Linked DNA regions of Pelodiscus sinensis. The protein of the gene in region 1 purifies or fractionates together with the protein of each later gene. This does not show direct contact. Links are inferred from orthologs where the notes say so. Each region holds a gene or a part of one and is shown in the gene's direction. Other genes may lie near its edges.

Region 1 (7,486 bases):
TCTAGACGCGCTTTTCCGCAAAAAAGCCCCAATCGCCATTTTAGCCATCGGGGCTTTTTTGCGGAAAACAACACTGAGCTGTCTACACTGGCCCTCTTGCGCAAATGATTTGCGCAAGAGGGCTTTTGCCCGAACGGGAGCAGCATAGTATTTCCACAAGAACACTGACGATCTTACATGAGCTTGTCAGTGTTCTTGCGGAAATTCAAGCGGCCAGTGTAGACAGCTGGCAAGTTTTTCCGCAAAAGCAGATGATTTTGCGGAAAAACTTGCCAGTCTAGACACAGCTCATGCGTTTAGATAAGTGCCCAGCAGGGCAGTTTGTACCCCAGAATGAAGCACCGCCAAGTTCCTTGGGCCTTCCTCAAAGGAGGCTGGGCGCTGGCACGGACACGATGCTGGACCCGATTCCTCCGTTCCCTGGCATCGCTCGGGGACGAGAAGCATCTCGAGGATCCTGCCGTACACACCGGAAATCCTGCACAGGCCGCTCTGCCCCTGCCAGCGGCAGATCGCGCAGAGCTGAAATGAATTGTAGCCCCAGGCAGGGATGTTAGTGTGTAACCCACGAGCCAAGCTTAGCGGTTGATAGCCCTGGGGGGCAGCTGCGTGGCAGCAGGGCAGCGACGCCTCTTTCCCAGGCATGGTTCCAGGGAATGCTTCGCTGTGGGCTCTGCAGTCTCAGACTGATTTAGGCTTTGTGCGGCAGAGCCTGCAGCAGGTGACTGCTGAGATTTTCAGCAGCTGCAGTTACCCGTTGAACCCAGTGCCAACATCCACAGTGCCAGGAAAAAGGACTAGAGCCGGCGGACAAAAGGTGCCTGCCTAGAACAGAGGGATCTGTTCCAGGGATGGTTGTGGGATGCAGGCTACCAGATACAGACTGTAGGTCTCTGTAGCAGGGTCAGCTCCCTGGCGCAGCACCTCCTGCTGGGTCTCCTCAGGAATTAGCTCTTTCAGCCAGGAGCACCCCCTGTTGACTAGGGTCTTGCTCTCCGTTACCTGTCTTCTGTGCTGTTTCAGGCCCCATGTCCCTTCTGGCCCACAGTGTCCTTCCTCAAAGTACTACACCACAGCAGTGCCCCTGCACTCCGGGGTCCTCCCCGCTCAGGGGACCCCAATCCCCTGGACCCACCAGCCTTAGTGATCCACCAGCCCCTGCCTCAGGAGCAAACTGCAGTCTGAATCAGCCACTCATTATTGGTAAGGGAATGTGGACCTGCTGCCTTCTGCCCTGGCTGCTGCCCTAGTACCCCTCAGGCCCCTGTGTCAGGTCAGGGCTCCCCAGCTCTACCTGCCTTTCCCCAGCCCTGCTCTGTCTCAGGAAGCCTCTGTAGCCTCCCAAGCAGCCAGGTCCCCCCTAATCCATAGCTGTAGCAAGAGTATAGGCCTCTTTGCCCAGGCAGCCTTTTATAGGGCCCAGCCTGGCCGTAATCAGCTGACAGCTCCCTGCTCTAATAGGCCAAGGTTGCACACGCCTCCCCTGGCTTTCTGTAACCGTCTCTCTGCTGGAGTGGGCTGCAGCACCCCTATGGTCTCCCAGGGCCTCACCCTTGTGGATGTGTAGTGCCTGTGAATGGCTCCCATCTCTATTTAAGTGACATGCCCAAATCCGTCCTGCAGGGGCCACTGCAGAAACCCCTCAGGGAAGTCACTTCTGAGTCAGGAATGCTGCAAGAGTTTGTCCTGGTCACTTACCTCCATCTGTGCTTGTTTTCTTCTCTGCAAGATGAGCATAATGGTGCTTCCTGCACCTCGGCTGGTTGTGAGGATCATACTGGGCCAGGTGTGGCCAACCTGAGCCTGAGAAGGAGCCACAGTTTACCAAAGAGCTACAGTAATTTGTCAGCAGGCCCCATCAGGTGCCTCCTCTCCCATCTCCAGCATCTTTTGGCCCACCGATCAGTACCATCTCTTCCTGCCCCGTTCCTCCTGCAATCAGCTGTTTCATGACCCTCAGGAGGCTATGTGGGAGAGGCAAGGAACAAGGAGGAGGAGGTGGAGCCAGGAGTTGAGCAGTGGAAAGTTGGCACCTGTATCTGCAGCCCCAGAGTCAGTGCCTGAGCAAGGAGACACATATTAACTTTGCTATTTGAACCCAGGGGGCGCCCACCCACTTCTAAAAGCCCCTCCCCCAGCCTTGCAGGACGGACGACTGGAGCCAGGACTCAACTGATTCTGGGAGAAAAATGATGAAAAACAGGGTCAAGGGGTGCAGGTCAAAGGTTTAAAATGTGGGAAACAGATGGGAACACTGAGCAGAGAACCTTGGACAGCATCCACTGCTCCTCAAAGCTGTCCAGGGATCCAGTGGACACCACCCAGAAGAATTCTGACTAGAGGCATGAGACCAGGGAGGAATGGACGTAGGCCCCCCCAGTTGCAGTGCACCCCATCATCCAGCATCCTCCTCCTGGTATTGTACATGAGCTTTCGCCAGGGCCAGGAGGAGGCTGACGAGGAGGTCTTGCGACTTTGTGGGGCCACAGATGGGGTGTGCGTAAATAAAAAGGTAAGGGGGAAAGGAAAGGAGCCGGAATAGGGACTGCAACCTGGCACATTCCAGATATGCATGTGCCAGGTTTTCCCTTACGCCGCAGAAGGGCAGGCGTCTGGGATGGGGTGAACCATGCCAGGTACACACCTATGCTCACGGCTTGGTGAAGGAGCGGCCAACTGATGTCCCTGACGGGCTGTGGGATTAAGGTGGGATGAACACTGGCCCATTGGGGTTCCTTACCCTCAACTGATGTTGGATAGTCCCGCCTCTTGGTGCAGGACACAAGGGTGAGGAAATGCAACATGTGGAGCACGAGCCCGTACAGATTGTCTCTAGACGTGGTTCAAAAACAGATACCCTGTGTTTCTGCCTGGTTTTGAAAGAGGGAACTTTTGCGTCTTAAGCAAACATGATCACCACCACACTTCAGAAACCTCATTTGTTTTTCTATCCATTATGGGATGCACCCTTTGACTGTGCACAGTACGGCACTCTTTCCTGGGGTAGCCCAGCTGTGGCAGTCTGCCACACCAATTCTTTCAATGAACCTGCAAGGGCTGGCCTGGAGCATAATTTCCAAAAGAGCAGAGCATAGGGACTGCTTGCTTGGCCCTTATTTCAGGGCCCTAAACGGGAGGGCTACGTCTAGACTGGCATGATTTTCCACAAATGCTTTTAACGGAAAAGTTTTCCGTTAAAAGCATTTGCGGAAAAGAGCGTCTAGATTGGCATGGACGCTTTTCCGCAAAAGCACTTTTTGCGGAAAAGCGTCTGTGCCAATCTGGATGCGCTTTTGCACAAAAAAGCCCCGATGGCCATTTTCGCGATCGGGGCTTTTTTGCACAAATCTGAGCTAAAAGCAGGACAATGTAGCACTTTAAAGACTAACAAGATGGTTTATTAGATGATGAGCTTTCGTGGGCCAGACCCACTTCCTCAGATCAAATAGTGGAAGAAAGTAGTCACAACCATATATACCAAAGGATACAATTAAAAAAAATGAACAAATATGAAAAGGACAAATCACATTGCAGAACAGAAGGGTGATGCGGGGGGGGGGGGGGGAGGAAGGAAGGTAAGTGTCTGTGAATTGCTGATATTAAAGGTAGGGAGAGTGGGATGTTTGTGAGTTAATGGTATTACAGGTGATAATTGGGGAAACTGTCTTGGTAATGGGTGAGATAGTTCAAATTCTTGTTAAGTCCTTGTTGGCAAGTGTCGAATTTTAACATGAATGACAGTTCAGAGGATTCCCTTTCAAGTGCAGATGTAAAAGGTCTTTGTAGCAGAATGCAGGTGGCTAAGTCATTTAGAGAGTGTCCTTTCTGGTTAAATCTGAGCTGTCTACACTGGCCCTTTTGCGCAAAAGCTTTGCACAAAAGGGACTTTTACCCGCACGGGAGCAGCATAGTATTTCCACAAGAAGCACTGATTTCAGATAGCAGGAAGTCAGTGTTCTTGCGGAAATTCAAGCGGCCAGTGTAGACAGCTGGCAATCTTTTTAGGCAAAAAAAAAAATCTTTTTCCAGAAAAACTTACCAGCCTAAACACTGCCGAGCTGACCTGCTCAGGGTAGTTATACCCCACCCAGTTATAAGACCTGGGATTCGAACCTGTAACTCTACACAGCTCAAAGAGCTCTGTTAACCCCTACAGGGGCCCCAAGCCCCGCCCGCTGCCCACCAGCTCACCCCTTACTGACACCTTTGGCCAGCCAATAGAATGACAGGGTGCTAGAAGGTCCCGCCTCATGAAGGAGCGAAGCCACTGCGACCCGTCGCAGCCAATGAGCTGCTGAGAAAGAGCATCCCATCCGTCGGGGGCGGGATCGAGCGGAGGATTCTATTACGGCGGCGCGCTCCTCCTTAGAACGAGCGGCACAGGGGCCAATAAGAGGCAGGGACGGCTCTGACGGGCAGGTTCCTCACCCAGCGGCTGTCCGCGATGCCCTGAGTGGCGGCGGACTCAGCCAACGGACGCGGAGGAGGCGGGGCAGCCCGCGTGGTTTCCGCTCCCGTTGTGTGAGGGGGCCGAATCCCAAACGGTCTCCGCCGCGGCGAGCGCTGAGCGTCTCCGCCTTTCGGAGCCGGCCGCGGTCTCCCCCCGCAGCCCCGCTCGGCCCGTCGGTGCCCGGCTTCCGTAGGCCCCGCTCGGCCCGGGACAGCCCCTCCCCCCGCGCGTCTCACCCGGGCCCCCGGCCCCTCCCCCACCCCGGTAACCCGGCGGCCCCGCCATGTCGCTGCACGGGAAGCGGAAGGAGATCTACAAGTACGAGGCGCCATGGACCGTGTACGCCATGAACTGGAGCGTCCGGCCCGACAAGCGCTTTCGCCTGGCGCTCGGCAGCTTCGTGGAAGAGTATAACAACAAGGTGCGGGGGAGGGGCAGAGTTAAGGGTGAGGAGGGGGCGGGGTTACGGGTCACGGGGTAAGGTGGGGTTGTGGGGAAAAGGGGCAGAGTTAAGGGTAAGGAGAGGGCGGGGTTACCGGTCATGGGGTATAGTTAAAGGTAAGGTGGGGTTGTGGGAAAAGGGGCAGAGTTAAGGGTAAGGAGAGGGCGGGGTTACCGGTCATGGGGTAAGGTGGGGTTGTGGGGAAAAGGGGCAGAGTTAAGGGTAAGGAGAGGGCGGGGTTACCGGTCATGGGGTATAGTTAAAGGTAAGGTGGGGTTGTGGGAAAAGGGGCAGAGTTAAGGTTAAGGAGGGCCAAGAGGCAGAGTTAAGGGTAAGGAGAGGGTGGGGTTACAGGTCATGGGGTATAGTTAAAGGTAAGGTGGGGTTGTGGGAAAAGGGGCAGAGTTAAGGGTAAGGAGAGGGCGGGGTTACGGGTCACGGGGTATAGTTAAGGGTAAGGTGGGGTTGTGGGAAAAGGGGCAGAGTTAAGGGTAAGGAGAGCGGGGTTGTGAGCCAAGGGGTATAGTTAAGGGTAAGGCAGGAAGTGTGGGATCATGGGTTGGAGTTAAGGGTAAGGTGGCTGCCACACTCGGTAGGCCAGTCACGGAGTTCTTTGTGCGGCACTTCCAAGAGAGTGGTGGAAATGTGTCACTGCCTGTTGCTGCGAGCCCCCACCCCCTTCCTGGCCTTGTGCTCCTCGGAAAGCCCATAGGAGAGACTTTGCCACTGCCCCTTGTGCGTCTTCATCGCTGCGCAGGGCCTTGTATAGTTGCCCTGTGGGGCCAGTGAGTGTCCAGGCTTCTTTCTTTCTCCTAGGGGAGATGGCATAGGAGAGTGGTGTGGCTTATAACTTTGTGGAGAACCGTAACAAGATTGGGACAGTCCTGTGGCTGAGGTGGTGGCATCTTACACTGACTAAATTATTACCCACGCATCTAATGTGCTATCCAAATGTGATGTCTAGCTTTAATCAGCAGGCTGTTCGTGCCAGTTTCACACACATAGGAGATTTAAACAAGGAAATGCAATTGTAAAATGGCAAAAGTTAGCATCGGAACAAGGGAGAGTGGAGAGTCATAAGATAATTGTAACTAATTTTTAACAAATGAGTGGTTTTCCCATTGACAATCCTAGTGCCATTTGTGCCTCCAATATAAATCATCAACCGTGAAAGACCTCACACAAACTGGAGGAAATGAACTCTACAGAGTGCTGTTGAAAAAAGTGAATTTCAGTTATAATACTTAAAGATTTACCTCGTGTTGCTCGAGTCCTGAACTCAATTAACTTTTGGGTTTTGGAAAATATCATGCAACTGTCCATGTTTCATTTGAATCATTGCCTTGGGGTAGAGCTAGAAATGAGTGGTTGAATATGCAGGCTGCCCTGGGGAGAGAGGATCACTGTAGCAGCTTGAGGTCAGGTGAGAAGCAGCAATCCATGGCGGATACAGCTCTGGGGACACAGCTGAGGGAGGGTAGCATGTCCCCTGACTGGAGCAGGTGCAGATTTGTCTGTCCTCTGTGCTCTGCAGCCTGAGTGAGGAATGTAGCAAACACTGAATGTTCCACTGCATGAGGAAGGGGAACAGCCAGTAATGTTCCCTCACAAATTGGGGCAGTCCTGGGTGTGGGGAACCCTGTCAGCCCCTTGCCACATGCCTGGTGATTCTGTCTCTCTTCATGGTTGTATGAGGAGCAATCCTGTCCCAGGCCCAACCAGATTCTTACTGTGTTTTAAGTTATGGATAATAAGAGGAAGCTGTATCCCGAATGTGATGGTCCTAGCTCTTACTATTTAGGAGGGATTTCTTGAACAGATGCACACACAAAGACAAACTCTCAAATATAAAGTAGATTAGGTGATGTCAGAGCAGGTGGAAACTTGCAGAGAGAAATATATGTTTCCCTTTTAAGAGTGTAGTGTGGTGGTAGGATGGGAAATAAACTAAGTTTGGGGTTAATGGTCTTTTGGGGGGCCAGGCTTTTTGTCAGAGTGACAGATTAAAAAAGGAATGTAATGACAGTTTACTGCCATTAAAAACCTTCTCGCTTGCAATTTCCTCCAAAAATTCTCTTGACCTGAAACTTTCCGGCTTTATTTCTCTCTCTTACCTTCCCCCCCCCCCCAAAAAAAAGGGAGGGGGGGACTATTTATACTCTGCTAGATTGAGTTATTTGGGAGGAAAACACTGACTCTCTTTGGAAGCGCCTTGTAGTGAGTAATTCAAAAACATCTGAAGGTTAAAGTTTTATATGTCAGAAGGGAAACACACTCTGAAAAATGCAGTGACAGTCAGCATTTTTCCACGGTACAGAGAGGCTAAAAGAACAATGGGTATCATAATAAAATCCAAAACATTTGATTAAAAAAGTGGCTGCATCCCATAGCTATCTGCATCCTGTCAGGTTACAATCTATTCAAAACATGATGCTCTAGCACTGTGTATGCAAAGCACCTAAAATAACAAATTTGAGGTGAGGTTGATTAGTAGAGCATGGGTAAGGTTCTGTGGTGTGACTCCTGACTGTTAACAGACTCTGCAGCTTATGTGGAGGGGATTGGAGGAGACAGTGCTCTACATCTGGGTAGTG
Region 2 (7,827 bases), on another chromosome or scaffold:
TTCTCTCCTAGCATACTAACGGGGAAGGGGCCTGACAACTCACTGTAGGAAACATTTTAGGAACATGCATGTTATCCAAAACAATGGCAAACATGTACATTCCTGCTAGTTGGTTCAACAGATCACTGACAATTGAAGCGCATATTAGGTTAAACACGACTATTATCTTGCAGATGGCTCAAAAATGACCACTATTCATAAGAACATATAATTGTATTTCCTGCAGAAGAGGCAAAGAATGCATTCAGATAGGTCTTGCTTATATATTTTAAGAAGGCACTTACCACCCTGATATTACATATTTTTGTAGAATTAGCCAATACAAACAGAGGCTAGGTTTAGAAATCTAATCCGCGGCTGGCAAGCATTCAAAATATGTTCTTTTATTAACACGGGCAGCATTGAAAATAATTGCCCCCCCCCCCATCCTCTCCTCCGCCCTACGGCGGGGTACCGGTGCAGATAGATCAATTTCAGTGTGAACACATCCCCCAGTCTCTTATTTAAAAAAAAAAGTTTTTCTTTCTCCAAAAATGCACACGCAGTATTTCTGATGGACCGTATTTCTTAGTCATCGTGTTTGCAGTCAAACAAATCCGCAAAAATGCCTCCCTTACGACTATTTGTGGCAAGGCAAATCTTTTTAGAACTCCCTTGCGTGGGTGAAGGGAGGCAAAATACAAATTAAGCCGTGAAAGAGACAAATAGGGGAAATATATTCGAGTCGGCCACACAAACCAGTCAACTCACTTTTTGGGGGAGGGAGGTCTCACTAAAAAAGCAAAGAACTGTGGGTGTTTTTTTAAAAAATAATTAGAGGCCTGGTGAGTGCTGGTTGTCCAGTTTAAAAGACCAAACGTCCTTTCGCAACACGAGCTACACACTGTGGCACTGAAATGCCAAGAGAAAGAGCCAGATTCCCAAGCAGGCAATGTGATGCGGTGATTTTTTTGCTCCGGCCTTTCCCGAGGGGAAAGAGTCCGGGATTTTTGGATGATCCTGACCAGGGTTTGCAGCTCACCAGCCTGACCTGTCAAGCGGATTATTTTAGAGGGAGATTAATAGGGGAGGCGGGCTGCAATAATAATCGTTTTGTTTGATGTGACAACTTTGATAGGCGTTGATTTACTTACAAACTGATAGGCTTTTAATTGAGCGCCTCCATCCAGCTTGAGATGAAAGGCAAACCGCATTGAAAAGCTGCCCGAGTGCCCGCGAGCCTCAATACTGATTAGCCATCTCGACAGTGAATAGTTCAAGGCATTTTCAAACTTTTCTCTCGCTCCCTTCTCCTCCTCAAATATCTTGCCAGCCCACTCCCTTTTAAGAGAAAATAAATCATTCCCATTGTGTGCAAATAAAATCGACTTGACATCCTTGCCAATCGCTGGTAGGTAAAGGAAAGTGGGGATCGGCGCGCGTTAATTAATTCTCTCCTTGCTCCAGATCTTAGTTTTGTTTTGAAGTGGAGCTTTATAACAAATCCACCACCATTTCAACCCGTAAATGCCAAACGGAAACCCGGCTTCATAGGATCATTAAACACGGAGCCCAGGCAGAGAGAGCGAGGCAGGGTAGAAACTATCTTTCCTGATGCATTAAAACAAACAAGAACGCCACGCCAAAAGCAGGCACGATTCTCATACATTTGCGCGTCTAAGAACGCTCCTAGAACGCTCATCTTTTAACTGTGCGCCGTGCGTTCTGAGCAGCGTAAATGGTTCATCAAGGCTAGGAAAATGGTTCAGGAGGGTTCCCGAGATAGATTTTTTATAAGCTTCTACTTAAAAAAAAAAAAAAAGCACCGGAAACTTGCACGTGTAAATGTGATTTACACTGCGCATCAAAGGCACAGCGCTAAACGTGCTGTCTTCTGAAGTTGCTAATTAAACTACCTGCTGTAGCTTCTGTTTGAGATTAAGGGTTTTTTTCTCCCCCTCGCTTGTAAACTTTCCCCTCTTTCCGTGTCATCAATACGCCGCTTGTTTTACACATGTACCGGGTTATCACCTTTGATTCCTCGGTTTAAACGTTGTAAGAGGCCCCTCCCGGGCCTTCCTCTACCCCCCACCTCCGCCCCAAAAAGCCTTCCCACCACTGACTCTACCTTAAGACAATTAATCTTTAGTCTTTCACCCTGGGAGGCAGGACAAATACAACGAGAAAACAGATAGGAGTCTCTCTGGTCCTGTAAGGAAAACAGCTGTTCCAAGCACTTTAATGCAAATGAACACAAATGAAGGTTTCAGCTTTTTTTTTATTCCAGAGTTTTACTGCACGCCATTTATCAAATGGACTTGACAACAAAAGAAAGAACCGGGGGGAAAACCCGGGGCAGATTTAAGTCATTTCCACTCTACGTGGGGGGGGGAGGAGAGACCTTACAGTGAAGTTGTGAGTCTTGTGAGTCTTGCTGGAAGGTCAATTTCTGGGGCAAGTCTTCCTTCGCTTTGCCCTCCAGTTTTCGCCCTCGCATAAAATGACCCCGTTTATTTTAACATCTGCCCGGGGGGATGCACGAACAAATGGGCCCTTTCCCCCTTTCAACTCTTAGTATACACACACACACACACACACACACACACACACACACACACACACACACACACACACACACACACACACACACACCTCTCTATCTCCAAAGGACGGCTGGCTTTTCAACGGCAAAGCTGGCTTTTAACAGAGACCTGCCATATATTTCTGTGACTTCCGAATTGGAAAGGGACTGGTTTAAAGGGAAAAAGACCTGGGAGAAAATGCCAACTGTAGCTACTAATCTAAGAGCACGAACTGACACTATTCTGGGGAGCGGGGACTGGGTTTCAAACATCCAGCAGACGCAACCACGCACACAGCAGAGAGTTCTTTCCGGTTCCCCGTCCCTTTTCCAGGATCAGGCCCCGCTCTAGCTGGAGTCCAGGTCAGGAATTGGACGCGATCTCTCAAGCAGTTGGCTTGTCCTTCGCTTGTCAAACGCGTCGTATCTCCCGAAGTGCCTTTTTGTACATGTTGGAGATGGCGTGGGCCCCCATGTCAGATCCGGATACAAAAGTAAGACATTGATTAACACATTTTGCCTGTGCAAAAAAAAAAAAAAAAAAAAAATGAGTTGGAGGAAGAGGGTTGGAGACTGAGGAGAGAAGCTGAAGGATTTTTGTGGTGGTGTTTTTTAAAGCCAACCCAGAGCACCAAAAAGAAGGGCGAAGTCGAACCAAAACTCTGCTAGCCTATGACCTACCCCCGGGGGCATTTCTCCTGAACAAATAATGGTGACATCTTTAAAGAAGGGCTGAGGAGACAGGTGCGTGTGTGCATACCAGAAACTGTGTGCATACATGGGCGTGCTGCACACACAGGTAGGTGGGTCGGTCGGTCGGTAGATTCCAGGCAAACAGACACGTGGGCAGCTCCAGGTCCAGGTTAGCGGAGCTACAAATGGCGAGTCAAGAGGCTGCTATCTAAAGCGAAAACTCCGTAACTGGGGCCCCAGCCTGGCCGAGCCTGTAGTGACATTCCGCGGCAGCTCCACGTGTCAATCTTAATTCTCCTCTAAACATTCCGCCGTGCCAAGCGCTTGAATGACAGGCAGCCGGGGGGAAAAAAAGCCCAGCCGTGGGTAGGTCCGTCTTCTTCGCCCTACTCATCCCTCCGTCCTCTTCTCCCCCCCCCCCCCACTCCAACCACCCCATCCTCCTCCTCAGGAGCCCAAGAAGCTGTTTAATAACCCAGGCAGGCGACAAGGGGGCTTGCACACACACATACACACAAACATACACCCAGCAGAGCCACCCTCGTTAATTACAGCGGCTCCGCCAAGGTAGATACGGTGGCGTCTCGGAGAAGTCACTCTCCCTTTTGTGGGCATACAAATTGAGTTTACTCGGGGAACGATTTATTCCTTACATTGAATGGCTCTTTCTCAAAGAAGCCCGTCTCTCTCCTCCTTCGTTTTCCCCTCCTCTCCCCCCCCCCCCCCTTTCTTCCTTCAAGTCACACCAGGCTTGTAATCAGCAACAAAAGCTGACATAAATCAAGGGCGGATTGACAGGGGCTGACAAATAACTGATTGATTGCGGTTGGGGAGCATTGACAATTGATGGAGGGGCGGAGAGACCCAAAAAAGCGAGGGGAGGAGGGCGGCGGGTGCAGCCCTGGGAACATGTGACAGTCACATCCCCCAATCTCTGCCTTGGGTTCCCAGTGTCATCAAAGGCCTGATTGGAGCGCTTCCAGGGGGAGGGCGGACTCTACCAAGTTTCACGTCCAGAACCACTTTGCAAATATGAAGCAGTAGGGAGAAAAATTGCTGCCTACGCCGCCTTTTCCTCCAGGGCCAGGCAGGACATAACCCAACCCGCTCCGCACTAGTCCTCGGTTTACTGGGGCAAGATTACAAAACGTGCCAAGGCTGAAATCACCCTGGGGGAGGGGGGCATAAAGCAACAGCCGCAACATGACGGCCTGGGTGGCTGCAGGCTTAAGCGGAAAACGCTGTATCAGTGCACTCGCGAAAGGCGGTCAGAGCCTGTGCTGCGGCTCGTAAGGGCGAGCGCGTCTTAAATAGGCGCTGGCTTCGTCCTTGCTTTTTTTTGCACGTCCCGGTCGAAGGGGCTGCGGAGAGCGAGGAGCATGGGGATGTGAAACACAAAATTAACGCCCAGCCAGTCCTAGGAGCAAAAAACCAGAAGGGGAGGGGAGAGCCCATGAAAACCGTAGGGAAGGGGGAGGGGGGGAGGAAAAAAAAAAAACCAAGCGCCAGCCCGGGGAACGTCACATCCCCTTGACCCTCCAATCACCTCGGGGTCCCATTTGATTGGAAGGCGGCAAAGGCTTTAATCTCAGCCTAATTCCGCTGCTTTTGAAGTGAGTTGCTTTGCCAGAGCCGGGGCTGGACGCGCAGCGACAGCAGCACAGCTGAGCGGCGGCAGAGGAGGGCGGCGAACGCAGCAGCTGGGGAGCCAGCGAGACGCACGCACCCCCACCCCGGGATTATTGTGCTTCTCCCCCCCTTCTCGCCGGGTTCCCCCCGCCTCCGCCAGAGACGTTTTCTGCCTCGGTGTGTTGGGGCGAGTTTGCTGGTTGGGGGGCGTGTGTGGCTCCCCCCCCCCTTCCCAAAGAGAGAAGGTTTCCGAGGCTGCCCCGCGCGACTCGCCCCAGTTTTCATGCGAGGTTTTGGGTCATGATCACATCGCCCTCGCTTTCTGCGGTAAGAAGTAGGAAGCTCAGCGGCGGCAGCGGAGACTTTGGCGTCGGCGGAGGCAGCAGCAGCAGCGCCCCAGATCTCGCCTGGCCGAACCGGCACGCTGGGAATACTACGAGCTGCTCCAAGCCTTTCTTCCACCCCGTCCCGCCCTCGGACCCCTTGCGCCAAGCCAAGCGGCTGCCCATCAAAGTCCTGAAAATGCTCACGGCTCGGACGGGACACATTTTGCACCCCGAGTACCTGCAGCCTCTGCCTTCCACCCCCGTGAGCCCCATCGAGGTAAGGAGCCGCAGGCGATGCCTGATTCTCCCCCCCCCCCCCGCCCCCGACGACGGTCTCTCTCTCCCCACGGTCACTAAAGGGCAGTCTCCCCGGCCCTTCTGCTCAGTTCAAGGCGGATCCAGCCGGACCTCCCTCCCTGCTTTTTGGGCTGGGGGAGGGGCTGTCATTTTTTTCAGGGAAAGTTTGTGCGTTGCTTTACACCCCTATTTTTTTCGGGGGGCTTCAACTTGAGGGCTGGATTTAGGGCCCCCCAGGCGCGAAATAGGCTTGATTTGGGGAGGGGATGTGGGTGCGGCTGCTCCCAGCTTCCCATGATCTTAGCCTGACTTAGGATGACACCCCACTTGCGATGGGGTATGGGAGGGGGGGGTCCGAGTCCAGTTTCTCCGCCTTGGGATGTTTGTAGGGACTCCCACTCCGAAGGAGGGGTGGGCGAAGGGATGTTTTCCTGGGAAAGTCTGCTCCCTCGGGAAGCGCCGGACCTTCCCGCAGCCTGGCGCGCCCGCTGACTCCGGAGCGGCTGGGAAACAGCGCGGCCAGCTAGAAATGGTGCAGTCGCTCCCTTTCGGGGACGCGCGTGCGGTGGGGACGAGGCAGAGCCAAGCGGCCAGAGGAAAACCTGAACTTTGCAGAGCCCCCCGGTAGAAGACACCGTTGCCTTTTTAAACCATTGTGGAAAATGGTGCATGGGGGTGGTGGAGGGGGGGGGGGGGAGCTGTCAGGATGATGGATGCGCACAAAATCGTGGCCCCCTTTTCAGGCCGCCCTGTGCAGGACGAGTCGGCCGCGGCCGGCTCCCGTGTGTGCTGCGAGCCCCCCCGATGCTGACCCGTTTGCCTTTGTGTGTCCCTCTTGCTCCCCCGCAGCTGGACGCCAAGAAGAGCCCCCTGGCCCTGCTGGCGCAGACCTGCTCGCAGATCGGCAAGCCCGACCCCTCGCCCTCCTCCAAGCTCTCCTCGGTCACCGCCAGCGGCGCGTCGGGGGACAAGGAGGCCAAGGCGGGCCCCTTGAAGCTCAGCGACATCGGCGTGGAGGACAAGTCGAGCTTCAAGCCCTACTCCAAGCCGGGCGCCGAGAAGAAGGAGCCGGGCCCGGCGGGCGGCGCCGCCGGCGGGGGCGCGGGCGGGGAGAAGTCGGGATTCCGGGTGCCGAGCGCCACCTGCCAGCCGTTCACGCCCAGGACAGGCAGCCCCAGCTCCAGCGCCTCCGCCTGCTCGCCGGGGCTGCTGCCGGCCGAGGCCAAGGCGGCGGGGGAGGAGAAGAAGGACGCGGAGGGCTGCGGCAAGGCGGGCAGCGGCGGCGCGGACGGGGGGCCGGGCGGCGCCAGCCTGGGCCACAGCCGGATTAGCGTCAGCTGTGGCGGGATTAACGCGGAGGGCGGGCCGCACCCCGAGGGCGCGCCGGGCGCCAAGGCCGCGGACTCGGTCTCTTGCAGCAGCAGCGGCCCCGCCACCTCGTCCGCCTCGGTGCTGGGCTCCGGCCTGGTGGCCCCCGTGTCGCCCTACAAGCCGGGCCAGACGGTCTTCCCGCTGCCGCCGGCGGGCATGAGCTACCCGGGCGCGCTGGCGGGCGCCTACGCCGGCTACCCGCCGCAGTTCCTGCCGCACGGCGTGGCGCTGGACCCCACCAAGTCCGGCAGCCTGGTCGGGGCGCAGCTGGCCGCCGCCGGCAGCCTGGGCTGCAGCAAGCCGGCCGGCTCCAGCCCGCTGGCCGGCGCCTCGCCGCCCTCCGTCATGACGGCCAGCCTGTGCCGCGATCCCTACTGCCTGAGCTACCACTGCGCCAGCCACCTGGCCGGCGCCGCCAGCGCCTCCTGCGCCCACGACCCGGCGCTCAAGTCCGGCTACCCGCTGGTCTACCCCACGCACCCGCTGCACAGCGTCCACTCCTCGCTGGCCGGCGCCACCCCGCCCTCGCTGGCCGGCCACCCCCTCTACCCCTACGGCTTCATGCTCCCCAACGACCCCCAGCCCCACATCTGCAACTGGGTGTCGGCCAACGGACCCTGCGACAAGCGCTTTGCCACCTCCGAGGAGCTGCTGAGCCACTTGCGGACCCACACGGCCTTCCCGGGCACCGATAAACTCCTCTCCGGCTACCCCAGCTCCTCCTCGCTGGCCAGCGCCGCCGCCGCGGCCATGGCCTGCCACATGCACATCCCCACCAGCGGGGCGCCGGGCAGCCCCGGCACGCTGGCCCTCCGCAGCCCGCACCACGCCTTGGGACTCAGCAGCCGCTACCACCCTTACTCCAAGAGTCCTTTGCCCACCCCGGGCGCCCCAGTGCCCGTCCCCGCCGCCACGGGACCTTACTATTCCCCCTACGCACTGTACGGGCAG
Region 3 (7,678 bases), on another chromosome or scaffold:
AGAATGGGCAGGAATGGTGTCCCTAGCTTATTTTTGCCAGACGCTGGGAATGAGCAACAAGGAATAGATCACGTCATGATTGTGTGTTCTGTTCATTCCCTCTGGGGTACCTAGCATTGGCCACTATCAGAAGACAGGATACTGGGGCAAATGGAACTTTGGTCTGACCCAGCATGGTCATTTTTATGTTGAGCAGGGCTGGATTAAGGGGGGGGGGGCTAGCCGGGCACCTGCCCAGGGCACCAACCTAAGGGGGTGCCTGATGGCAGCTGTAAGGGCGCCGTGCGGCTGGCCGCGCAGCGCCCCTTACAGCTGCCATCAGGCTCCACGCGCCCAGGGGCTGCACATATGTCGTGCGCCCGCTGCCCGGGGCGCAAATGGCTCGAGCCAACCCTGATGTTGAGCAAATATCTTTTCTGAACAAAATGTTAATATTTGAACTACCAAGACATCAGTTTTTAGTTACCATTCAACTATATCACACATGTATTTATAGAAAGGGGCAGGACTGCAGCTATTTAAAATGTATGTTATACTTACAACCAAACTAAAACCTAATATTCAAACTAATAAATTAACTACGAAGTATCATTCAAATCCTAATAACTTCTAAAGAACAAGCTTTTCCACTATCCTGAACAGCACAGAAGACAAGTTTCTATTCTAAGGAAGAACTGTAGCAATTCCTGCTGGAGGTGTTGTTCATATTCAGTTATTCTAGTTTGTTTTCTTTCGGGAATAGCTACAGTACTTTAAACGCTTCCATCAAAAAGTCTTAATTTCTATTCATATTATATATTTGTAATTTATATAATTCCTTTGCTGAAGCTGTATTAAATTATCCTGGAGATTTCGTGCGTGGTCTTCTGTGAAGATTGAATGCCAGCCCCATCCAATAAAAATGGGGTAAGTCTAGAGCACTTTAACTCTACTATTTGTTAATTTGAGAAATTAGAACATTTTTCTCCACATCCCTCCACCTATAATATCTACAATCCAATTCTACCCATGAATGTGGCCTCTCTCAATGCTCCACTCCCTGCTATTTTCCAGTGTAATGTTGTTTGTTTGTCCTGTCCTATCTAGGATTGTCTTGCTTCTCTAAATCTGTAAACCTACTGATGAACTCTAAATCCCCCTCACATTTAATTTTTGCTGATCATGCTTTTTTCAGATCTCCTCTTACATAGTTAACCCGCAAAACTACTCTGTGGCATATTTACCTTTTAAATTTCAACTCTTCTTTTATGCTAATTTTTAGAAGTTTTTCCGTTCTATTTATGTAAGAGTTATGAGTCCAGTCTGTGAAGTTTTGGTCCTCAAGTTTACATTACTTCCTCTACAATTCTTTATATACAGAATGCTTTATACAGAATACAATATAAAGCTAATAAATTGTACTAAATGATATAAAGGCTACAAATCTTATTTAAAGCATAATTAAATATTTACAAAATGGAATGCAATGGGTTACTTCTAGGGATGGGCAACCAGGAATACATGAGTAGCTTTCCTTTATCTCAGTGGATGGCAGCAGACCATGGCCCACTAGGGTTCCACCTGTGGCCCAATGGCACCTCACCTACCCCCTTTTCCCCACACGCTTCTCGCACACCAAGGCACCAGAGCCCAGCACTTATCTGCTCCTTCCCCTCCTTCCCAACACTTTCAGAGCCTGCACATTGCCTGATTTCCACTCTGACCCCACTCCTCCCATTCCCTCCCAGAGCTGGAACACCACGAACAGCTGATTTGCAGCATTCCAGCCCTGGGAGGGAAGGGGAGGAGCAAGATAGAGTCTCTCCTCTGAAAGTGCTGGGAATGAGGAAGGAGGAGAGGAAGTTTGGGGATCCAGTGCCACGTGAGCAGAAGGGGTGTGGAAAAGGGGAGCAGCCAAGGGGTCCACGAGCTGCAGCTGGAGCCCCAGTGAGCTGCATGCAGCTAGCAGGCTGCCCACTACTGGTTACTTCTTTTTGAAAAATGAATCAGTGTTCAGCACTGGATCTAGGGGCAAGTCTGGAAAGTGAAGAAAAAGAGACTTTGCACTTCTCTCACTAGGACTAATCAGGATACAATTCTCCAAAGGCTGCTCTAACTTATGTCACTTCAATGGCCCCAGAGACTATCCAACAATCAAGGATCATCAGTGTCCAGCACTTTTGCAACACACCTTTCAAAATACCTCATGTGACAAGAAAGCACAAATGACAACTAAACTCCACTCAGGGATTCCCCTACACAAGACAAATCCCCAGCTGGTTATTGAGGTCACTTTTGTACAGGTTGGATCTTGTTGATCCTGCACCCTCGGGACCTGACTAAGGATGTAAAATCCTGTTTAATTGGTTAACTAGTTAAACATTTACGTTTAGTCAGTTAACCAATTAAAAGGAAGTGAGCGGGGAAGCAGTGTCCGAGCTGGAGCGCTCCCCTCCCACCACTGCAGACAAGTGCTACTCTTGTGGGCGCTGCAGGGCTGGAGCAGCTCCTTTCCCCCAGTGGGTAGGGAGCAACTCCAGCCCTAATTGCTTAACTGTTCACAACCCTAGACCTGACTGGTCCAGAATGAGGAGATTTGCCAGACCAGGGGAGATGCCTCCCCTCCTGGCCCATGCTGCGTCTGGATTAGGGCGACAGCTGCCTCGGCCCCCCAGGGCTCTCTAAATGACACCAACACCACTGCTGCTGGGACTGGAGTACCACAGCTGGAGCTCTGTAACTGGGGCCAGAGCTCCCCGGCCATTGGAGCCAAAGGTCCACAGCTGGGACCAGATCTCCACAACCAGGACCAGATCTCCACAACCGCTGCTGGGGCCAGAACTCACGTTGTGCTGCCTATTCTCCCCCACTCCCACACCGCCCGACTCTGGGCTCCTGGCTGAGTTGCCGGTGTCCCCTAGGGCACTCCTGTTCCACCGTCAGAACTCCCTGTTCCTGAGCTCTGTAGTTGAGGAACGTTGCTGGACCAGGAAGTCCAGTTAAGGGAGGTACAACCTGAACAAAGCAACACCAGAGATGGAACAGCACAGAATATTTGTCTTTATGTCATAAACTAATCAAATTATTCACTACATCAAAAATAAGAATTAATTCAGGCCAAGGTTTGCATTGGAACTATGTATCTGAAGAACAAGGAAAAAGTGGAAAGTTGATAGGATTTGCCAGGATGAGGGGCATCATTTTCCTTGAAGTATGCAAAAACATAAGCAAAACTGTTAGATTAAAAAAAATGCAGTACCTCACTGACATTCTGATCAAGACAAAGCCTCAGAATTGGATCTTCAAGTAATAATTTTAGAAAGTTGACAGTTGCAAACTGAAAGCAGGCATATGGGCCTTCTACACTGGGTTCAGTACAGGATTAGGGCACAATACCCTATTTCTGTTCATACCTTTATAAACTGGGGGTAAATTAACAAATGTGTTTATCAGAAGTTATTAAAGTAATTTTTTATTCAAACATATCTGTGCACTGTTGGTGAGCTACAGTTCATAACCATTAGATTATTGCTATCCATAACTGGATTTTTATGATGTATGATCAGTAATCTGAATTACATGAGATTGGTTCCTATGTCTGGATGGTTCCCAAATTGACAATATTCAATATGGCCACTTGAATACTTTTGAAGTAATTAAATATTTTAACAAATACTCATAGTATTACCCTACTGTGAGCAGTCTCCATATCACATGGACAAATGCAAAAGCAGTTACTATTGAAAGATGCTATAACTTAAGCATAAGTCTCAGAAAGTAACTGTGTTATTTTCTATGTGCAAAAACAACAGAGGAGTCCTGTGGCATCTTACAGACCTACTAGTCTTTAAGGTGCCACAGGACTCCTTGTTGCAAATATAGTTAAAAAAATCAAACTCCTGGTTTTATTCCAATCAATGGTGATAAGATTTTGTTTTCTCATCTCTACTTGCTAATGACTACTTTAAAGCTCCCACCTCAATGTAGAGACACAGGAAAAGGATAAAAAATAACTAATAGTCTTGCCGCACCTTAGAGACTAACAAAAATGTGGATGAAATCATGAGTTTTCGTGGGCACAGCCCACTTCTTCAGACGAACGGAGTTAAGGGGAAAGGAAAAGGAAGGAATCCCAGTTAAGCGAATGAATCAGTTCATGACAATGAATGCTGCCATCCTCTGATTAGCTCATAACTGGACTGACACGGCTGAGGTCACAGCCCCGGGTAGACTATTCCCAGACTTTTGAAACCAAAACACTGATTTGAATAGGAGAGTCGCCCCCTCCCCCTCCCCCAGCTGCGGGGACGGGGCTTGGAGACCCGGTTTGAAACCCACCACAGACGGCAAGAGGCTGATATCTCCCCCCCCCCCCGCACTGCCACCCACAGCCTCGGGGCAGGGGCGCGCCCGCCACACCCCAGGCTGCCTCGGGGGCCTTTCCCGAGCGGGCTGGGAGCAGGGGGCTGCGGCGGGCGGGACGGAGGGAGCGGCCGGGGCCGTCGCGTCTCTCCCGCCCGCGCGAGGCGCTGCGCCCCGGGGTCTGCGCGGCCCGCCGGCAGAGGAAGTTTCTAGGGAGCGGTCGGAGGGGGAGAGAGGCGAGAAAAAGTTTCCCGGGCGGGACTCACCAGCTGCCGAGCGACCTCGGAGGAAGCCATGACGCGGGGGCCGGGGAGGGAGGCGCCGCGCGGGAAGCGCCGGGCGGTTGGAATGTAACTGGCAGCCAGAGGGTCCGCGAGCGGGGCGGGGCCGCCAGGGAGGGGGGCGGGGCCAGGCACACGGGTGGGGAGGGGCGCGGCGCCGAGGGGCGGGGTCTCGCGGGGGCGTCTTCTCCCTTCCCCGCAGCGCGATGGCATCGCTTCGCACCCAGGCCCGGGAGTGAGCGCGGCACGCGGCAGGTTCGGACGTGACGTGAGCGGGCAGCTGACGGTCGCTGCCCCCCCCCCCCCTCCCAGCCGCCTGTAGGATGGGCCGCGCGCCGCCGCCGCCCTGATTGAGCCGCCGCGCGGCGCTAACGCCGGGAGATGCTGCCTCAGTAGCGCGGGGGGGGCGGGGGAGCGCCCGGAGCCGCCGCGGCGATGGGGCTGCGCTGAGCGCCGCCGGGCGCGATGGCCGAGGAGCCGGGGCTGAGCCCGGAGTCGGTGCTGCGGTTCCTGGCGGCGCGGGGCGGGCGGGCGCCCAACGCGGAGCTGCTGGAGCATTTCCGGGGCTGGCTGAGCCCCCCGGAGCCCGAGCGCCGCGCCCGGGCCCGCCAGCGCTTCAAGGAGCTGGTCAACGCCGTGGCCACCGTGCGCCTGGATCCCGGCTCCGGCGCCAAGTACGTGCAGCTGCGGCGGCGCTACCGGCCCGCCGGGGTGCCCGATGCGGACAGACCGGAGCCGCCGCCCGGCCACCAGCCCCCCCGGCCCGGCGGCAGCGAGGCCGCCGCTCCCCTCGAGCCTCCCGCGGCGCCCGGGCCCGAGCCGCTGCCCAGCATCGCGGACGCCGCCCCGCTCCATCTCCCGGCGGCGCCGGGGCCGCTGCCCAGCATCTCGGTGACCCCGGAGGAGGCGGCGGCGGTGGACTCGGCACCGCGGAGCCGGGACTCCGCGCCTTGCGCCGGGGGGAGCCAGTCGGAGGAGATCGCGCCCGCTGCCCCGGGAGAGCCGGGCCCGGAGGATGGGGAGCTCCAGGGGACAGGCCCCCGCCGCCCGCCGCCGCCGCCGCCCCCCCAGTCGGGGAGTAGGAGCGACTTGCCTCGGCTGGGCCAGGTGCCCCCGGGCGGCGCCAGGAAGAGGAGCTCGCGGCGCAACGTGCCCCGGGGGCTGCAGCCCGGGCGCGGCGGAGAGGAGGCGGCGCCCCCGGCCCGGCTTGCTGAAGAGGAGGGAGTCGAGGCCGGTTCCGGCTCCCCGGGCAGCTCGGGCGGAGGCGCAACGCCCAGGTCCAGCCGCAAGAACTTCCGCGAGTTGATGATGGGTAGCTCCCCCCAGCTGAAACGCAGCTTCTTCCCCGGGGCCCCCAGAGCCCGCGGCGGGGACTCGGACAGCGCCTCGCTGGCCTCTTCCTCTGCTGAGGAGGAGAGCGGCGGGGGCAGCTCGGTGGCGCTGGATCCCCTGGAGCACGCCTGGATGCTGTCGGCTGCAGATGGCAGGTGGGAGAGCCTGGAGGGACTGCTCAGCTGCGAACCAGGGTTGCTCTCCAAGAGGGACTTCATCACGGGTTTCACTTGCCTGCACTGGGCTGCCAAGCATGGGCGCCAGGAGCTGCTTGCCATGCTTGTCAACTTTGCTCACAAGCACCAGCTGCCCATCAATATCAATGCCCGCACCAGTGGCGGGTACACAGCACTACATCTAGCCGCCATGCATGGCCATCTGGAAGTGGTCAAGCTGCTTGTGGGGGCCTATGATGCAGATGTGGATGTGAGGGACTACAGTGGGCGAAAGGCCTCCCAGTACCTGAGCCAAAGCACCACGGAAGAGATGCGGAGCCTGGTGGGAGCCCTCCAAGAGGGGGGTGAAGGTGCCACGAATAATGGGAGTGGCCGCTGGAGACTCTCCAAGGTGCTCCCCTCCAACCTCATTGCCTACAAACTCTCCCACCACCTCCATGGGCCTGGTGAGGAGACTGAGTTGGGTGAGGGGGCAGCGGCCTTTGGCAAGGGTAAGGAGATGAGCAGGAAAGCCTCGAATAGTGGTAGGATGAAACCTCGGCTTAACAAAATCCGATTCCGCACCCAGATCATTCACACCACCCCCTCTCTCCGTGCGGAGACTGAGGAAGAAGAGCAGGAGGACAAGTCACTGAAAACATCCTTCAAACTCAGACCCAAATCCAATGTCTTTGGATAAAGTGGGGAGACAGGCAGGGCACCTAATTAGGGGTGTAACATGCTCCTGAACCCATTGAGCATGTAGTACAGAAAAGGGGAGGTGCATGCAAGCCTATGTGAACGGCAGCCCCTCATCCAGACTTATGCATTCCTCAGGAGATAAAGCTAAATATCTTGTTTAACTTCTGAATTTCATTAAGTGTACAGTAAACATCTGCAGGGCTCTTGGGATTTAGCAATTTCCAGGAAATAGCTGCTTCAAGCCAAGCAATGGAGGCTTCCCATACTTAAGAGCTGTTTCCTTGCAAGTACAGATGGGGTAGTAGGTCTGTAAAGAAGTGAGTATGTAAAATTGGTGGGCCTCCTTTTTTTTTTTTTTTTTTTTTTTTTTTTTTTTTTTAAGAAGCTAGACATCAGGGTCTGGAAACCTAGTACACTCTTATTTTGGTTTTTAAAGTGTGATGGAGGGAAACAAGGGTGGGGAGAGAATCTAAAACTTTACATTTTGATACTAGATTATCAACCAGTACTACATACTGCTCTTCATGGACAGCTGGGGAGAGAATCTAAAACTTTACATTTTGATACTAGATTATCAACCAGTACTACATACTGCTCTTCATGGACAGCTATTTCAGGATTTCTTGAATACGTTCATGTATTTTTAAAGTATTTTTTTTCCAAAAGGCAATACTACGTGACAAAGTAGCATTAGGTACAAAAGGTCAAAAGTGCTCTGCTGACTGTCAGGATTTTTTGTAGATATTTGGGCTCTAATCCTCAGACTTAAGATCAATCTTAACTTTACCTATTCAAATCATAGAATTCAAATTCTCAAGTCAATGGGATGTCTTACAACGGATATAGTTAAGCATGATGTAAGTCTTT
Region 4 (7,608 bases), on another chromosome or scaffold:
TGCACCTCGCTGGGGTAGCATTTGCGGGGTGCTAACACCAGCCTCTCTGCTGACCCCCTCTCCCTGCAGTTCGCTGACCTGTCGGATGCAGCCAACCGGAACCACGAGGCCCTGCGCCAGGCCAAGCAGGAGATGAACGAGTCACGGAGGCAGATCAATAGCCTGACCTGCGAGGTGGACGGGCTGAGGGGAACCGTGAGTATCATTCTCCGGGGGGAGGGGGGGAGCACCCCAGCCCTGCTCCTGGGGCAGAGTGCTCCCTAGTGAAGCACCCACCGTTGTTCCCTGCAAGCAGTTACATTGCCAGGGCCTGAGCAGGGACTCGCAGCCGAGCCGGCCTCGTGCGGCACAGCTCCCCATGGTGGGGAGCAGCTGGACCAGCATGGGTGGTAGGGGGAGCAGGGAGAGACCAGCCCCCTTTGGAGCCAGTCTGACACCTGCCCTCCCTGCTGTGGCCAGAACGAGGCGCTGCTGCGCCAGATGCGGGAGCTGGAGGACCAGTATGGGGTGGAGCTCGGCAGCTACCAGGACACGGTGGGGCGGCTGGAGCAGGAGATCCGGCACATGAAGGAGGAGATGGCGCGGCACCTGCGCGAGTACCAGGACCTGCTCAATGTCAAGATGGCGCTGGACATCGAGATTGCCACGTACCGCAAGCTGCTGGAGGGCGAGGAGAGCCGGTGGGTGCAGCGCTGGGGGCACAGCTCTCCCAGCATCTGTTGCGAGAGGGTGGGGCTGTTCCCGCCCCCCCTCCCGCCCCCCCTCCCATCCCCCCGGGGAGGGCTGGGGAGTGGAGGATAAGCAGGGTCCTACCACTCACTGTACTTTTTGACCCTCCCTAGGATCTCGATCCCCATCCACTCGCTGGCCTCCTACAGTGTGAAAACTTCAGGTAAGTGCGTGCCAGATATGGAGGGGGGGATCCCCCTGTGGGTACCTTCCCCAGGAGTCTCACCCCTCCCCGGTCAGTTGTCGTGGGCTCCCCACATCTCTCCCTAGGTACCTGGGGAGTTGCTGGCCTCTGCCATTGTGTGGGGTTGGCCTGGGAACTGACGGGTTGCGGCAGATCCATATGGCCAGCAGTACAGCCCATTGGGGGATCTTCCCTGGGGGACCCCTGCTGTGACCAGAGTCTATTGTCCTGGGGCACACCCACCCCAGGGCATGGAGGCCTCACCTGGGGATTGGGGGTTCAGTGGCTGCAGCCACTTCCCTTCTCATGGCCTTCCTGTACCCCCTGCTAGCACCTGAGCCGGAGCAGACTGTGGAGAGCCACACCAGGAAAACCGTTCTGATCAAAACCATTGAGACCCGGGATGGAGAGGTGAGTTTCCTCCCTGCCCCCCCTTGGGACATGGGGGTGAGGAGAAGAGAAGAACAGGGAGTAGTCAGCCTGGAGTGTGCCAAGCCTAGGGTAGCGGGGGCTTGGGGGAGAAGCTCAGGGCATGCCTAGGCCTGTGAAGGTTCCCGGGGCGTCCAGCTGTCATTCAGACCCAGCATTACAGGAGCATGCAGAGAAAGTGATGTCTAGCAGTTGGCGCTGGGAGGCAGGACTCCTGGGTTCCGTACAAAGCTATGGGGGAACATGGGTTAGTGGCTAGAGCGGGGTTCTGCTCCTACCCCTGCCCCTCTGTGCTGGGCAGCAGGCTCAGGGGCTTGTGGGCAGGCCTCCAAGATCCTCCATGGCAGGGAATGTAGCCAGGCATGGGCTGAATGGGATCTAACCGTGGGCTCTCTGTTCCATCCTGCCCCCCGCCCCGCTAGGTAGTGACTGAGTCAAGTACGGAGCAGAGCACTGATGTGGAGAAGTGATCCTGGTGCTGGGCCGCTGCCCTGGACCGAGGCGACAGTGTGAAACTGACTTGTAGAAGCCACTGCGAGACCCCTGCTGCACCTGCCCTCCCCCCAGCCACACTGGCCTTATTACTACAGATACCTCTGACAGCTCTGCTGCACTGCCCCGTGCCTCCAGCCCGCCTACCCTCGTGGTGTGCCCAGAGCACCGAGAGCACAGCAATACCCACTCACAGCCCAGGGCAAGGAGGAGAGGGGCCCTGCCTCCAGCTCTCCCCATCCCTCTGCCCTCTCACTGCATGCTGTTTCCCCGATCTCTCCCCCATCCTGTGCTTTTGGCTCTGGGCTGGTTTTTCCTTCCCTGCTCTACCGTTGGGCGTGACTGACCTTCCCAGACTACGTGTACTGAGCCACAGGGCTGTGGTTAAACAGAGTAGGATCCTACACCCCCTCCAGCTACAGCCTAGGCCATGCGCTGCCTATACAGATCCCAAGACCACTCCCACGTCCCTAGAGCAACTGCTGTGAGCATTCCGCAGAACCGGTCCTCCTCCGTCCCATCATGTTTCCAGCCCCAAGGCAGAGGCTGCCTGAGTTTGGTACCAAAGAGGAGTCTGCTCCTGAATTGGACTCCACAGAGGAGTTGTCCTCGTTCCACTACCAAAGCAGGATGCTGGCCCCTGGCAGCTGTGCCTCGGGCTGCTGCCCAGCAGTGCTCCTAGTAGCAGAGATGCCTGTTGGAGTGGTGATACCAAGATCTGACTGCAATTCTGTGTTGGCTGGTCTCCAGCCCAAACACAGCCGGGCCCCCTGATTCCCAAAGCTCTGTTTTAGTACAGAAGAAACGAATTGCAGGGACTGCTCAGCAGGGCTGGATTCCTACCCCTGGCACTTGCAGCCTGGATTCCTGCTCCCTGGGTACAATCCCAGTATGCCTGGCAGATGGGGAAGCTGTTCCTAGTCCCAGTGCTGCTGTCTCTAGTGTTAATTCTCCTGGATGCTGCAGCATATCCTGTTCTGGCATTGCCTAGAGCTGCCATCAGCTCTAGACAACAGGGCTGAGTGAGCCTGGGGATGAAGGGGGTGAGTAATACCTAGGCCCAGTTGCTGAGGGTGAAGGCCCTTGTGCCCAGGGTACTAGTCTAATAGTGACAGCCCAGTCCTGTCCTGGAGTGTCTCTCCCTAAGGAGGCCTGCTGTGGTGCTGAGTCTCCATTCTCATTTTGATAGGGATCCCCGCCTGTCCATTAGCACTTGTGTTGCTTTGATTTTTGGACACATGCTTAGTTGTCAGGGCCTGAGAGGGAAAGAGTTTCTTCTGGGGCCTTTCAACCCTGGCTCCACTGCTGGAACAGATGTGTGGAATGATGTTTCCTGCTGCTATCCCAGCTCAGGGGAGAGTCCTGAGCCCCATACTGGCTGCTGATACTCAGCCCTGCTTCTAAGCAGGCAAGTCCTAAAAGACTGTGCTCCACTATCATTCCCACATTTCTGTCCTCTGGCCGCCTTCCCTCCACGCAGTGCCTCTGACTTTCAGACCCACTTTCCTTGCCTTAGCTCTGCCTTCGTTAACCAGGGGGCTGCGATAGGATCTCTCACCCTGCTGGACCAAGACACACGGGAGGCTGTGAGCATAGTTGCTTTGGTGCTCCTGGGTCTTCCCTGATCTGCCTGAATGGTGACACTGGCCCAGTGCTCGGCCATGGTGTTGAATGTGTCCTGTCCTGCTTTTCCAGCCACTAAAGGTCATAGCGAGGAATGTGCGTGTCTGCTTCTCATCTATGCCTCCTTATCCCACCGTCTGAGATCTCCACCTTCCAGTGGCTGAGTGTGGTGGGAGGGCAGGGGAAGAGACCTCAAATTCGACCCTCATTGGCAGTGCCAACCAGAGGGCTGAGCTGTCGGCTCTTAGCCTTAGTGGACAAGGGGGGCTATCCAAATTAACCTCACTCTGCTTGGACCTAGCAAACCTCCCACTGGGAGGCGGCCAGCCGCCCTGCTTGTCCCTTCGAAAAGGTGCTGGGGGTAATGGGTGAGGGGGAGCTTGTCCAGGCTGTGCCTGTAAGGGTGGGAAGAGGTTGGCTTCAGACTAGGCCCCCCAAACTGCTGCCTACATGCGCACGAGTGCCTGTTTGCCCCTTCCGCTCTGCTCTCGTCCTGGGCCAGCTCCCCACTTCCGGGGAGGAAGGCGTCCAGGCGGGTGGAGCTGTAACCCTGCAGCCCAGGGAGGCGGGAACACAGGGAGTTGTGGACACAGCAGCGCCGTGGGGCTGAGTAAAGTGATGCCTGGGTGGCAAGACCTTGGACCACGGCATGACGTGGCACCGTGGCACGTGGCTGCTGTCTGACGTGGCACCGTGGCACGTGGCTGCTGTCTGACGTGGTACCCTAGGGGGAGCCCTCGCAGGGGGGGGCACCTGTGGCTGACTCCAGCTGGTGAGGGGGGGGCATGATCCAGGGCCCTCAGGGGAGGGGCTGAATTTCCCCAGCTTAGCTCCTGTCTTCAGCCCCCCCACCCTCGGAGGACTCCCCCCTCCCCCCCCCCAGCCCATGAGCCCACCGCTCTACCCATGCACGTCTCTATGGTCTAGCCTCACCCCCCCCCCCCATAACTCCCTTCAGCTCAGATCTCGCGAGACATCAACTTCAGCTGGGCGAGTGCGCCCCGCCTCCCCCGCGCCTGATAGGGCAACACGGGCGATGACAGGCAGCGGCTTTGGACAGCGCCGACCAATCCGTCCCCGCAGCTCCGGCTGTCGCCCGGGCCCCGCCTCCCTTGCTCCCGATTGGCTCTCTCTCCGCCGACTCCGCCTCCAGCTGGAGGAAGGTGGCCAATCAGCTCCCTTGGTGTTTTACAAACCGGCGGCGACCCGCAGAGCGGCTTTACCCGGCCCCGAGCGGAGCGGATGCGACTGAGCCCAGGTGGGGGCGGGCGAGCTTATGAATGGGGGAGCGCGAGGGTATCCGAGGGGTCCCTGGCTGGGGGGGGCCGGGGGGCGCAGAGGGGGTGCTCCTATGGGTGATGGGCTAGGATTTTGGGGGGGCTTGATGGGGTGCGCACCCCGGGGAGGGTGTGTGGGTGTAGGGGGGGCCCCGGGGGGTGCTCCTATGGGTGATGGGCTAGGATTTTGGGGGGATGGTGGGGCACGCACCCCGGGGAGGATGTGTGGGTGTAGGGGGGGACCCCGGGGGGGTGCTCCTATGGGTGATGGGCTAGGATTTGGGGGGGGCTTGATGGGGTGCGCACCCCGGGGAGGGTGTGTGGGTGTAGGGGGGGACCCCGGGGGGGTGCTCCTATGGGTGATGGGCTAGGATTTGGGGGGGGCTTGATGGGGTGCGCACCCCGGGGAGGATGTGTGGGTGTAGGGGAGGCTCCGGGGGGGGGTGCTCCTATGGGTGATGGGCTAGGATTTTGGGGGGATGGTGGGGCACGCACCCCGGGGAGGATGTGTGGGTGTTGGTGAGTCTGTAGGGGTTGGGGGGCCCCTGTGGGGCGGGGTGCTGCTGAGCTCCCTGACAGCCCTGGGGTTGGGTGTGTCTCCAGGCTGTGGCTCATCAGGTGGGTCCCTGGGGCCCAGTGGAGGGGGGGGGTGCTGAAAAGGCTGTGGGCAGTCATGGGCAGTACAGAGCGGGCTGGGGGGCGGCGGAGATCGCGAGGGGGTGCAGACTCCAGGACCTTGTTGGCCTTGCTCCTTGGGGAGTGGGGGAGTCTCCCCTAGGGGCTGTGGCGTTAAATGCCAGGGAGAGAGCCAGGGACTGATGCCGAACCTTCACTACTGTCGCTCCCTGGCTGGCCCAGCGATCCGGGCTCTGTGCTGCAGTGTTAAATGCAGGCTCCTTGCTTTGGGCTGTAGCCAGTCCCCCAGCCAGCTCCGGAGGGACTCCGCGCTGGTTATTGCTGCCAGCCTAGCTCTAGCCACGGGGCCTGACTTGAAGAACCTGCGAAGGGGTCTCCTCTGGCCTGGTGGGGAGGTGGTGATGCACTCTGGTTGCATTGCAAGGCCGTTCATCTCCTGGGAGCATCTCTTTCTCCAGGTGCAAATGCCAGGAAAGGTGCTGCAGTGCTGAGTGGTGCAGCTGTCAGAAATGGCGCAGATTGGGAAGGGTCCAGAAGCGGTTTCCTTTGCCCGCCCACCACGGGGCAAGTGGACAGGCAGCTGTTCCCCCGCCAGGAGCGGACCACAGCCAGGGAAGGAGAATGAACCATCTGCCTGGGATGGGTCAGGTGCACAGAGCTGCAGCAAGATCCCTGTCCTAGCCAAAAGCCGCCTGCCCCCAGACTTCCAGCAACTGCACCAGACCTGGGAGAGCCAGAAGGTGAATGGCGGGTGAGGGGGAAGGTTTGGAGCCCTACCGTAGACCAGCCGCAGAGCATAAGTTGTTGGCTCTCCCTATGCTTGGGGGATAGCATCAAGGGAAAACACCTAGGCTGTGTCTACACTGGGACACTTATTCCGGAAAAGCAGCCGCTTTTCCGGAATAAGCTGCGAGCTGTCTATACTGGCCCCTTGAATTTCCAGAAAAGCAGTGACGATTTACTGTAAGAAATCAGCTGCTTTTCCGGAAAAACTATGCTGCTCCCGCTCGGGCAAAAGTCCTTTTTCCGGTAGACAGCACAGTAGTCTTTTCCGCAAAAAAGCCCCAATCGCGAAAATGACGATCGGGGCTTTTTTCCAGAAAAGCGCGTCTACATTGGCCACGGATGCTTTTCCGGAAAAAGGGCTTTTCCGGAAAAGCATCCTGCCAATGTAGACGCTCTTTTTCCGGAAATACTTATAATGGAAAACTGTTCCGTTTTAAGCATTTCCGGAAAAAGGTGCCAGTGTAGACACAGACTTAGGGCGTGGTTGAGATACCGCAGGGGCCTCTCCGCCAGGCTGGCAAATGAGGATCTAGGCTTCAGGCACACTTATCCTGCTTGGGGGTGGGAGCTGGTACCCTCTTCTCTCTTGCAACATGCTGGCTTCCCAAACCGGGTTCTGGTGCCTCCTTACCACCACTGAGTCACAGACCCCCTCTTAACTGGGGCAGACCAAACTCTGGTGCCAGGGAAGGGCAGAGTGAAGTGTTAACTGTCCAGCACATTAGCTGTTGATCAGAGCTTAAAATGCCCCTTGGGGCACTTGTTAGCAGAGAATCCAACTGGTGCACCTGAGTCTGGCTGGTCCTGTGTTCTTTGTGATGTCCCCTCTTTGGATCATTGTGTTTTGGCTGTGATCCTCTGGCAGAGATGAGACCAATCAGCTTTCAGGGTGTTCCAAGCCCCTCCTCTTCTCCCTCTTGCTGGGGTGCTGGGCTCCATGGCACAAAATAGCCCACATTTGTTGTGCTGCAGCTTTGAGTGATTTTTTCCCTGTTGCCCTGACAGCCTCAGGGCTATGGATGGTCTGGTGGAGTGCTCCGAGTGTCAGAGAGATGGGTCTACAATCTGTGTTGAAATGAACAGGGTGTTGTGTGGAGAGGAGGGAGGGAGGCAAACCCCTGGGGTCTGTACTTGGCTTTAGGACAGAGAGCGTGGTGTTCAGGGCAGGCACTGGGAATCCGGCCTCCTGGGTTCCATTCCCACCTCAGTGACTCTGTGATGTCAGGCAAGTTGCTTCCTTTCTAAGTGCCTCAGTTTCCCCCTTCCCCATAGGGATGTGCCTCTTCCTACTTATGCTTGTGGCAGCAGGTAAAGCCCAGGCCGGCTCGCCACACTGCCAAGAACGGGCCACCACATCCAAGCTGGTGGCTGCCGGGCAGTGAAAGGCTCCAGCAGCTCCTCTGCGCATGTGGGAGGCACCACTTGGGTGGGTAGAGCCATGTAGGGGACGTG

What was found.
Region 2: the proteins of DCAF7 (region 1) and ZNF503 purify together in Homo sapiens (affinity purification with mass spectrometry; 4 studies listed by BioGRID and IntAct, counting the BioPlex papers as one, with this or other methods). This does not show direct contact. The link is inferred for Pelodiscus sinensis from reciprocal best matches to the Homo sapiens genes DCAF7 and ZNF503.
Region 3: the proteins of DCAF7 (region 1) and SOWAHC purify together in Homo sapiens (affinity purification with mass spectrometry; 4 studies listed by BioGRID and IntAct, counting the BioPlex papers as one, with this or other methods). This does not show direct contact. The link is inferred for Pelodiscus sinensis from reciprocal best matches to the Homo sapiens genes DCAF7 and SOWAHC.
Region 4: the proteins of DCAF7 (region 1) and TROAP purify together in Homo sapiens (affinity purification with mass spectrometry; 3 studies listed by BioGRID and IntAct, counting the BioPlex papers as one, with this or other methods). This does not show direct contact. The link is inferred for Pelodiscus sinensis from reciprocal best matches to the Homo sapiens genes DCAF7 and TROAP.

What each region holds. Positions count from the first base shown.
Region 1 is NC_134739.1:6,486,811-6,494,296, forward strand, and holds the start of DCAF7 (DDB1- and CUL4-associated factor 7), read left to right. Parts: upstream 1-4,483; 5' UTR 4,484-4,733; coding exon 4,734-4,871; intron 4,872-7,486. UniProt on the Homo sapiens protein: Involved in craniofacial development. Acts upstream of the EDN1 pathway and is required for formation of the upper jaw equivalent, the palatoquadrate. The activity required for EDN1 pathway function differs between the first and second arches.
Region 2 is NC_134718.1:8,579,455-8,587,281, reverse strand, and holds the start of ZNF503 (zinc finger protein 503), read left to right. Parts: upstream 1-4,815; 5' UTR 4,816-5,182; coding exon 5,183-5,485; intron 5,486-6,354; coding exon 6,355-7,827. UniProt on the Homo sapiens protein: May function as a transcriptional repressor.
Region 3 is NC_134711.1:236,120,154-236,127,831, forward strand, and holds SOWAHC (ankyrin repeat domain-containing protein SOWAHC), read left to right. Parts: upstream 1-4,847; 5' UTR 4,848-5,087; coding exon 5,088-6,809; 3' UTR 6,810-7,163; downstream 7,164-7,678. Other genes in the region: SEPTIN10 (septin-10), read right to left, coding at 4,608-4,637.
Region 4 is NC_134729.1:4,785,622-4,793,229, reverse strand, and holds the start of TROAP (tastin), read left to right. Parts: upstream 1-4,593; 5' UTR 4,594-4,715; intron 4,716-5,828; 5' UTR 5,829-5,879; coding exon 5,880-6,110; intron 6,111-7,608. Other genes in the region: PRPH (peripherin), read left to right, coding at 70-195, 460-680, 843-892, 1,245-1,324, 1,765-1,812. UniProt on the Homo sapiens protein: Could be involved with bystin and trophinin in a cell adhesion molecule complex that mediates an initial attachment of the blastocyst to uterine epithelial cells at the time of the embryo implantation.